2 linked regions of the Nothobranchius furzeri genome follow. The protein of the gene in region 2 binds, or shares a complex with, the protein of the main gene of each other region. Links are inferred from orthologs where the notes say so. Each region holds a gene or a part of one and is shown on either strand. Other genes may lie near its edges.

Region 1 (4,300 bases), on a different chromosome or scaffold from region 2:
CATTGAGACATGCCGGCTGAACAAAGCAACCTGGGTGCTGCGCCCATACAAGGACAGTGAACGTACCTGGGATGGTTTCCATCACATTTAGCAACAACTAAACACTTCCTTTTAAACAAGTAGTACAAACAGCAACTGATGCCGATTGCTGTTAGATGACATCATCGTAGTGTTTACGGTACTACTTGACTTCTTTCTAAGAAGAAACAATCTATTAAGGATATTTGTTCAGAACCATTCTGTCCTATCTGCAAACAAAGTCATTAAACTAACCAACATTTGAGGGGAAAAAATAACCCATTTAATCAGAAAACAAAAATTTTCAGTCAAAGTTGTTCATGATCTGCTCCAATCACAACACAGGGATATTAATGTGATACTAAAGTGTTAATTGGAAGCTTTTTATAGTTCTCCTGGGAGGAATTGTTACACAATCAAATTATCCAAATAAAAACACACAGTTAACAAAATAACTTAAGAGTAAAGCTTCACTGATTTTACGAGTAAACATTCAAGCAAATCAGTGAAATTAAATATGACCACAGAAACTTTCAGATTACCAAAAATTGCATTAATCAATCATCAAAATCTGAACCTTTATAAGGATCAGAGTGTCAACACAAAAAATGTCATTAAATGAGAAGGTTGTTTGATTCTGCTTATTCTAAACTCAAACTGCATTGATTTAATTTGCTGTTTTCTTTTTAAATCCATCCCATTTTAAATTAAAATGTGAAGTAAATTCTGACACCTACCAGTGCCTCTCTGGGTTGAGCGGTTCCTTCTAAAGGCAGAAGGCCAGCCTGCAAAGATGAAATAATAAGAAATCAGTAGTGTGATAGAGCCATCTGTTGGAGGATAAAGGTAGTGTTGGTTTACAAGTTACCCTTACAACAAATTCTAACACTTTAGCAGAAGAATTAGAAAAATCTGTAACTGCACACAAAAAAAAAATCACGCTGAATGCAAAAAGTTAAAAAAAGTTTTGGAAACTGGGATTTACAGTAAAAATAATTCTTTAAGTTGTTTTCTGATTGAATTAACCCATAAACATGAGATGTGATTCATCTTGCATATGATACAAATCCTATTCAATTTTTAATCATTTTAAGTCTTTTTGAAGACAGCTACATCAAAAGTGGAAAAGGTGTTATGGAAACATTTTTCATCTAAATTTGTTTTTCAGAAGTTTTAATGATACTGGAAAATCTACATGATTGTTTCAAGCAGTATATCATTCAGTTGCTTAGAAAGCGCTATTAATAGGTCTGGAATTTACTTCAAGTGTAACATTTACATTAAAAGACAGCTTTGTGTACAACAGTGTGCAACCAAGCTCACAATGCAAATATAACAAGTCAACCAGATATCAGGGACAGCACATCTGGCTAAATCAAATGTTTGTTGCATTTTTTAAGCAAGATAGCCACTGGTGAGACAACATTTTAAAAAAGTATGAGTTTCATAAAAAATATAACTAAAATAAAAACAGAGCTAAGTACATAAACTTACCCAGATGGTGACATAATAAAAAATAAATAAAACATTACTACAGCACATCTCATGTCAAGATGTTTATCGACTAGTTTGGGATGACATATGAGAAACTTCAGAACAGATAATGTGTGACGTCCTTTCCAAACAATTAGGGGTGCACCGATTGCAGTTTTTGGCCGATTACCAATCTTGAAAAAACCTGACTTACCGATACCGATTTTTTGCCAATACTGATTTTGTCTTAACTAAAAGCAGATTATGTCAATGCTTCATTTTCCTTTTATTGACAAAATCAATATGAATACTTGTGAAACAATACCAGTTTTAACTGGACATGAAGTCATGTTCTCAAATATAAATGAACATATTTAGCATTGCTGTTGAATTTCAAAATCATATTTGTTCCTTTAGACTTTCATTTTTCTAACTTTGAAAACAAAACTTTTGTACCTGCTTTGACACACTTTAAAAAAAATTCTATAGCAATTATTTGCTTTAACATTAACTAGGGGCACCAGTCCCCCACGACCCTGTGTGGATAAGTGGGTAACAAAAATGGACGGATGGATTAACTAGGGGTGCACCGATTGCAGTTTTTAGCCGATCACCAATCTTGAAAAAGAAAACCCGAGATCGGGGCCGATAGACCGGTGCACCCCTCCAAACAGCTATTAACCTTCGGTTTGGAAAGAATGTTTTAGGTGTTTTTAGGTTACAAATTAATTAAAATAATCAGAGCAAATTAAACATGTATTATTTTAATGTAAACAATACAAAAACTGCATAAACAACATAATTTCATGTTGCATCATTAACTGTATATGACGTATAAGTTTGAAATCTGAGACCAACGCACACCAAGACATCTGTCACTTTCTACTTATTAACCTAGTTTAGACAGAACACAATGCTCCGTTTTATATGCCATGGGTAACATTTGCTTTCTCAAATAGTCCTGTAACTGTAACGACAAATGAATTGTGGTCTGATTAGATGAGCTGCAAGATTCCATCTATACCAAACATTGTAATGGTCGTTTGTCCGGCCATTCAAGTCAAGAGTGGGTTTGCAAAAAACAGATGCATCCCGAAAGAGTGACCTTTACACATGTCAACATGCCATGACAAGATGACAGGAGACAAGTGGAAACACTACGCAACATTTGATCAAGATAAATAACTAATCTGCAAATTAAACACGCCACAATGTTTGTAAAAACGTGTAGTCAAACCCTATACCCCTTGGTGTCCGCTTCTTGATAAAAACGTGCGAGAGATGCAACTTTTTAAACCTAACATAGTTAGCATGCTAACTAGCAAGCACGCTACAATCTATTAGCTGAGCAATTCTTGAATAAATTCATGAAATGTAGACATTTAAAAGCAACAGACTACAAAAATACAGCCACACAGTCAGTAGCTTTATCTGGCCACGAATAAGTCTTAGAGGTACAGAAGGACCTGTGTTGGTGGATCAGGTTGCTCGGTGGACGCCATCTTTCTGTCCATTTATTTACAGTACAGGAGGACTGACTCGTGTTCGATTGCTTTTCCTGAAACACTGATCATTGATCACAGAGACAACTTTCTGTGTAAACAAAACCAACAAAAAGTAATCGGTTAAGGAGCAGCTGGCTGGGTAACATTTGATTTTTTATTTTAGTGCTGCACTTTTAAAAATAGACTGTCTTACACAAATTGAACATACAATTACATTTACCGTGCAAACTAAATACATAAACAAACAAATAAATAAATAAAAATGGTTGTTATGATTCCCACTTTTGGGGCCATGATTTTGGGCTCTTGAAATGAAACTGCATCCCCAATTGTCAGTCACAAATAGTTGATTTTCTAAATCTGAGACACGCATACCCTATGCGTGCTTTTGCAGACAGTTTAGCATCAGCCATTTCACATTAATTAATTTTTTTATTATTCTTTTTCAGGTTTATTTGATTTTAATTGTACACGTGGCCAGTAGTTCCCCCTCTTAAATAATAATAAAAACCAGAACGCGCATCTATCGTTTATCCGCTTGTGGTATTAAAACTACATATCCCAGCAGGCATAGCGCTTCACTGGCGGTTCAAGAAGAAGTGAAAAGTGAAGTGCTTTAGCACCGTGGCTTCTCAAAGTAATTGAAGATAGTGTAGTTAAATTAATATAATGACAGATGGGAAAGCGTGCAAAGTGTGCAATTTCACACGACAGACATCATATGGCGTTGCTGTTCCTTCGTTGGATGAGCTAAAGAAAAAAGGTGTGTTGACATGGCTTTTCTTTATATTCTTTGACAGAAAACTCCGATTTTGTATGTTTTCGTTTAGTTTCGGTGACCCATTTTGCCCATCTGAGCTCAGCTTGCTACTACAAACTCAAAACAGTGAAAACGAAAGAAACACGACTGCTGTAAACCAAAAGTGAGACCTTGGTGGGTTTTACCGCATGCCTCTGATAATCATGAACGGATTATGTACAGAAACAGTTCAGATTCCATCATGTTCAAACCTGCAGCTGCACACGTTTCTGAGCTTGCACATTCCTGGGATTACAGTCACCTTCACTGCAAACACGCAGCCTCTTTCTATCATATCATTAAATATTTGCCGACACCTGCTAAAGCTGTATGTATGAAATATTTAAATATCAAACCACTCAAAAAGAAAAATGAAATGTAAGATGTGACTTGACTTTTGACCTAAATGATTGTTCATCCGGTTTTTGTCGGATCTTTATATAAAAGTAAAGAGATCTCCAAGTTTAAAAGTATTTGTGTTTTTCCTCCAGGATGTGAGTTTCTC
Region 2 (4,373 bases):
TACATGAGCATTCGTTCTGATCAAATGCTTCAGTGAGAGCTTTTCTCACAATAAGCTCAGTATAATTACAAAAAAAGTAGAAGAGAGAAAAAGTTAAGGAGAAATTAAAATCTATCCCGACACATCCGCTTAACACGACGTCAACAACATTCTCAAGGTTTAGTTCTGCATTCAGATCGGCCATCTTTTGTTTTGTCCCGTGCTCCTCTCTGCTTTTACTCCCCCACAAGTGTCTTTCCTGCGCTCAGGCTTTACCGACACTCATAAAGCGATTCAAGCTCTGCTCTCACCATTCAGTCTCCTTGTCTCCAAGGTCCCCCAGCCACAGTTTCTCCTCAGACTGCTCCAGATACTCTTCTGCCCAGCGTCCAGGATCTGCAGCAGGAGAAGGAAAAACAGTGAGCAAAAAAAGACAGATTTGTCACGGATCTCATTATAAAACAGAGAGAACGAGTGCACGGAGTGAAACACAGACTCAAATTACCTGCAGCCTCAGCGATAAATTCTTTGGTCCAATCAGCATCTGCCGCCTCGCCGAGAGCATTCAGCCCCTGTGTGGCAGCAGAGTCGGGACCCGAGAGGAACTCGGCCGCCCAGTCACCCGAGAGGGCCAGTGCTGCTACATCTGGAGCTAAGACCAGGAAATGCTTCTTAAAACTGTTTTTGCATTATTAACACACGGGAACTTCTTAAAACTGGGACATAAAGCAGATAAGATAAAAGATTATACACATGAAATACCTCTCTGTGGAGCTTGTCTGTAGCTCTGCTGATCAATTTGCTGCATTTCTTCCAACAACTGACCCATGTCAAACGTGTGTGGGGGTCGCGGAGGCGCCTGAAGGAATTCATTTACCAACTAAAACATAAAAACACAAAAAAAGGCTAAAAGTGGCTATTTGAGAGATTACATCCAGAAATCAGAAACGTGGTAAGAATAATATTCTAATGCCTGACGAAAAACATCACCGACCTCTTCCTCTGTTGCAATTTCAATGGGTGTGGGGGGAATCTGAAAAAAGTTCAAATAAATAAATAAATGATGCAGCTAAACAAAAAAAAATTAAAATAAAATAAAAAAAAAGAAACACAACTCACTGTGGGTGTCAAGCGGTGCCGCCATGCTCCTTCTTCTTTGGTCATGTGACTGGTCAACTTCATGAGGGGATTGGCCCCCCCACATTCCGCCTCCACCAACTCCCGCATCGCCATGGCAACACAAGGATGAGGCAAAGCCAACCACACCACCTAGGACTACGAACAGAAGGAAATCTTCTACTGCTGCGTTTGTTTTAAACCTTCTCAATATAACAGTAACACCCCCATTGCTGTTAGTGCAGCACAGCTGGTTAATAATAACAGGAGATCTAACACCGTTACAAATGCTTGGTGACGCTTTCGTCCTCTTATCTGCTTAAGCAGATTTCTTTCAAATATTTTAAACAAGCTTGAACTAAATCATTGGCCAGTGTGAATCAAAAACATATTTTCCACAGCAGCTGGCTAGGTTGTCTGGACTGCAGATGCTTCTGTACCTACGCATAGTAAATCCCCAAGTGGTACCTTAACAGACACGTTCTGAACAAAGCACAATGAAAAGGAGGTTTATTTTTACTGCAGATTTGTTTTTAAACGTCCGAAGGACAACTCAAATAATTTTTGCTTTGATTTTACAGTGAATGGGTCAGAAAAGAGAAACCTGGAAGCTGCACAAGTGGCTTCACGTTGCATCGACGAGTTTAAACTCCCATCTGTCATTTTTTACATCACTTCCTGGCTTTTTCGAACCGTTACTAATGAGAAAGCAATGGCCTAGGAGGCACACAAATATCATCTGCTCCGTGCTTCCAGTAAGTTCGGCTCATTTTAGCAGCAACATTGTCGATGAGAGGAAAGGGCAACAATATTTGCAAAATAAAAATAACAGATTACAGTTATTTTATAGGAATTATTTGGTATAAGTAAATCATTTGTGTCACTCACCTGATCTGCCAAAATAAGAGTAACAGCACAATTTAAACATATATACAAACAATAGAACTACTGCTGATCACTGATCTCCATGCCCAAGAATGAACAGCTGACAAAAGGGTACATTTAGCCTACTCAAAATCTCCAACTCTCCCTGGAGGGATGTGAAACAATTTCCATAATGAAATGCGTGGAACAGATTTTTAATTCCACTCAGCTCTTATTTTGTATCTAAACCACCAAGTACAGCATTACACAACCCCGTCCATGCAGGTGGACGGAGTCGCTGCTCTCATGCAGAATGTGGACGTGAGTTTTCCTACTGAATCACACAGCTGCTGCATTATGATTAGGGTCAAAGTAAGAGGCTTAGACAAAGATATTAATACAGACATTATCACTGATAGGCCACTGTGACACATGTTTGTACACAACACATCTACTCAAGAGACATGCTGTAGTTTTAATACAGATGGCCCACTTTTGTGGAAAAAAACTGAAATCATAAAAAAGATGTTTTTGAATTGTGCACACCTGTCAGTCAGCGTTCAGATATCTAATGGCCCACGCGCTAACTAGCTAAAGACCCAGCAACAACATTAGCTTTGTTATCTCTTGTAGCCTCGTGTGGGCTCAATAAACAGCACATTAAAAAGAAGATGAAAACAATTAGCAACAATTTAGCTTTTAAAATAGATGTGCTAAGTGTTAGTTGGCAAGCTAGCAACCCAGGGCCAGTGCACAGGTCTCCACCCGGAGGAGGAGTGTGTTTACGGGGTAGCGTGATGTTCATCTCACCGCCGACAGCTCCTCCTGCTGTAGCCGAACAGTCGCTCCGCGCCGCTCTGTTTTCCGTCCTCGCCGGATCCTTTCTGGGCTAAAGCTGGGTCAGAACAAATCCTCCAGCACCGCCTCACAGCCTCCGCTGTGTGTTCGTAGTAGCGCCTCTTTTCTATTTACCTTCCTCCTCCATGACCCACAAAACCTTTCACCGAGCTGCAAGAGGCTCGTAATTCTACGTACTCTACGTAGTTGTATTCTTCAAATATTTACGAACGTGGAAGTCGGGCTTCTAAAGGCAAAAGAGCACGTACGTTTACGTAAAAATATGTGCAAGAGACTAAAGTCCAACAAAAGCAAGAGATGTTCCCTTCTGTGGAGTCTTTTATTTTAGGAAAACCTATCTTGTGTTTTTAGTTTAACTAATAATTTACTGACTAATTAGTCAGCCAATATAAAGAAAAGCCTCACAGGTTGTCTTTGCAGCTTGGGTGGAGTCAGAAATATCCAGGTGGAAAAAAATAAAGATCCTCAGTGCAGCTGACCAAAGAACCCAAGTCTTTCAACATTTGGGGAAAAGGATAGTTTGGGAAAGTCTCAAAGTATAAAGGTCAAACCTGCAAACCATCATTCAGGTATTTACGGTTTTCAAGTCCTCAGGCTTTTGAGCACGAAGACTCTTCATGTTACAGTGATCAGATCAGCCAAGTGTTCTTGGGGGCCCCTTGGAAAACCATTACCACTGCACAAAAGCCATGACTACATCCAGGAATGTAAAATTGCTGTGCAAAGAGGAAGCAATAAATCAACACTGTGTAGAAACAATGATGAGGTCTTGGGACACTAACTCATCTCAGATGGACAAAAAAACAGTGGATATGTTCTGTGGTCAGATGAGTTCACATTTTTGGTTGTTCTGGACAAATAAAAGAGATACTGAGCTCTGTATACAAAAAAGAACAACCGTCAAAGTTCTCATTAGGTAATAATAATTTTGCTCATTCATACTTTTGTAAACAAGAAACCTGCAGTTCAACAGCCTGATTTAACAAATTCTAGCTCCTAAATCTAACAGAAGCATGCACTAAACTGGAAAATACGCTCATATTATTAAAAAATGCAAAATATCTGTGGATTTTTGAATGAAAACACCATTATTATTATTATTAAAGGTCCAATATGTAAGAATGACAAATGGTGCAGTGGCTACCACCATTGCCTTGCAGCTACAAGGTCTTGGGTTCACATCCTGGCCTCAAATAGTTTGCGTGTTCTTCCTGTGCACACATGGGTTCTCTTGGTTAATTGGTCTGTCTAAATTGTTCTTAGGTGTGAGTAATAATAATAATAATAATACATTTTATTTAAAAGCACCTTTCAGGACACCCAAGGTCACTTTACACAAAACACGTAATAAAATACAATAAAACAATAATAAAACCCAAAGAAGAAAAAACAGAGAGAAACATTTCAATAAAATCAGAGGTTGTAGGCAGATTTAAACATGTGTGTTTTGAGTTTTGTTTTGAAAAGGGTAAAACTGTCAACGTTCCTGATGTCTGGGGGAAGTGAGTTCCAGAGTCGAGGAGCAGAGCGGCTGAAAGCTCTGCTCCCCATGGTAG

The links.
Region 1: the proteins of pex5 (region 2) and pex14 are in contact, whole or in part, in an NMR structure (PDB 4BXU), measured with the Homo sapiens proteins. The link is inferred for Nothobranchius furzeri from reciprocal best matches to the Homo sapiens genes PEX5 and PEX14. Residues at the interface, in NP_001124497.1 of Homo sapiens: Glu59, Leu62, Val63, Glu65, Phe66, Leu67, Gln70; in NP_004556.1 of Homo sapiens: Thr31, Phe35, Asn38, Arg40, Val41, Ser44, Pro45, Thr48, Arg49, Phe52, Lys55, Lys56.

Annotation. Positions count from the first base shown.
Region 1 is NC_091755.1:29,721,843-29,726,142, forward strand, and holds the start of pex14 (peroxisomal membrane protein PEX14), read right to left. Parts: upstream 3,053-4,300; 5' UTR 3,006-3,052; coding exon 2,958-3,005; intron 804-2,957; coding exon 756-803; intron 1-755. Other genes in the region: dffa (DNA fragmentation factor subunit alpha), read left to right, coding at 3,666-3,759, 4,287-4,300. UniProt on the Homo sapiens protein: Component of the PEX13-PEX14 docking complex, a translocon channel that specifically mediates the import of peroxisomal cargo proteins bound to PEX5 receptor.
Region 2 is NC_091745.1:74,164,895-74,169,267, reverse strand, and holds the start of pex5 (peroxisomal biogenesis factor 5), read right to left. Parts: upstream 2,975-4,373; 5' UTR 2,770-2,974; intron 1,255-2,769; 5' UTR 1,213-1,254; coding exon 1,099-1,212; intron 1,013-1,098; coding exon 974-1,012; intron 860-973; coding exon 742-859; intron 632-741; coding exon 485-631; intron 376-484; coding exon 291-375; intron 1-290.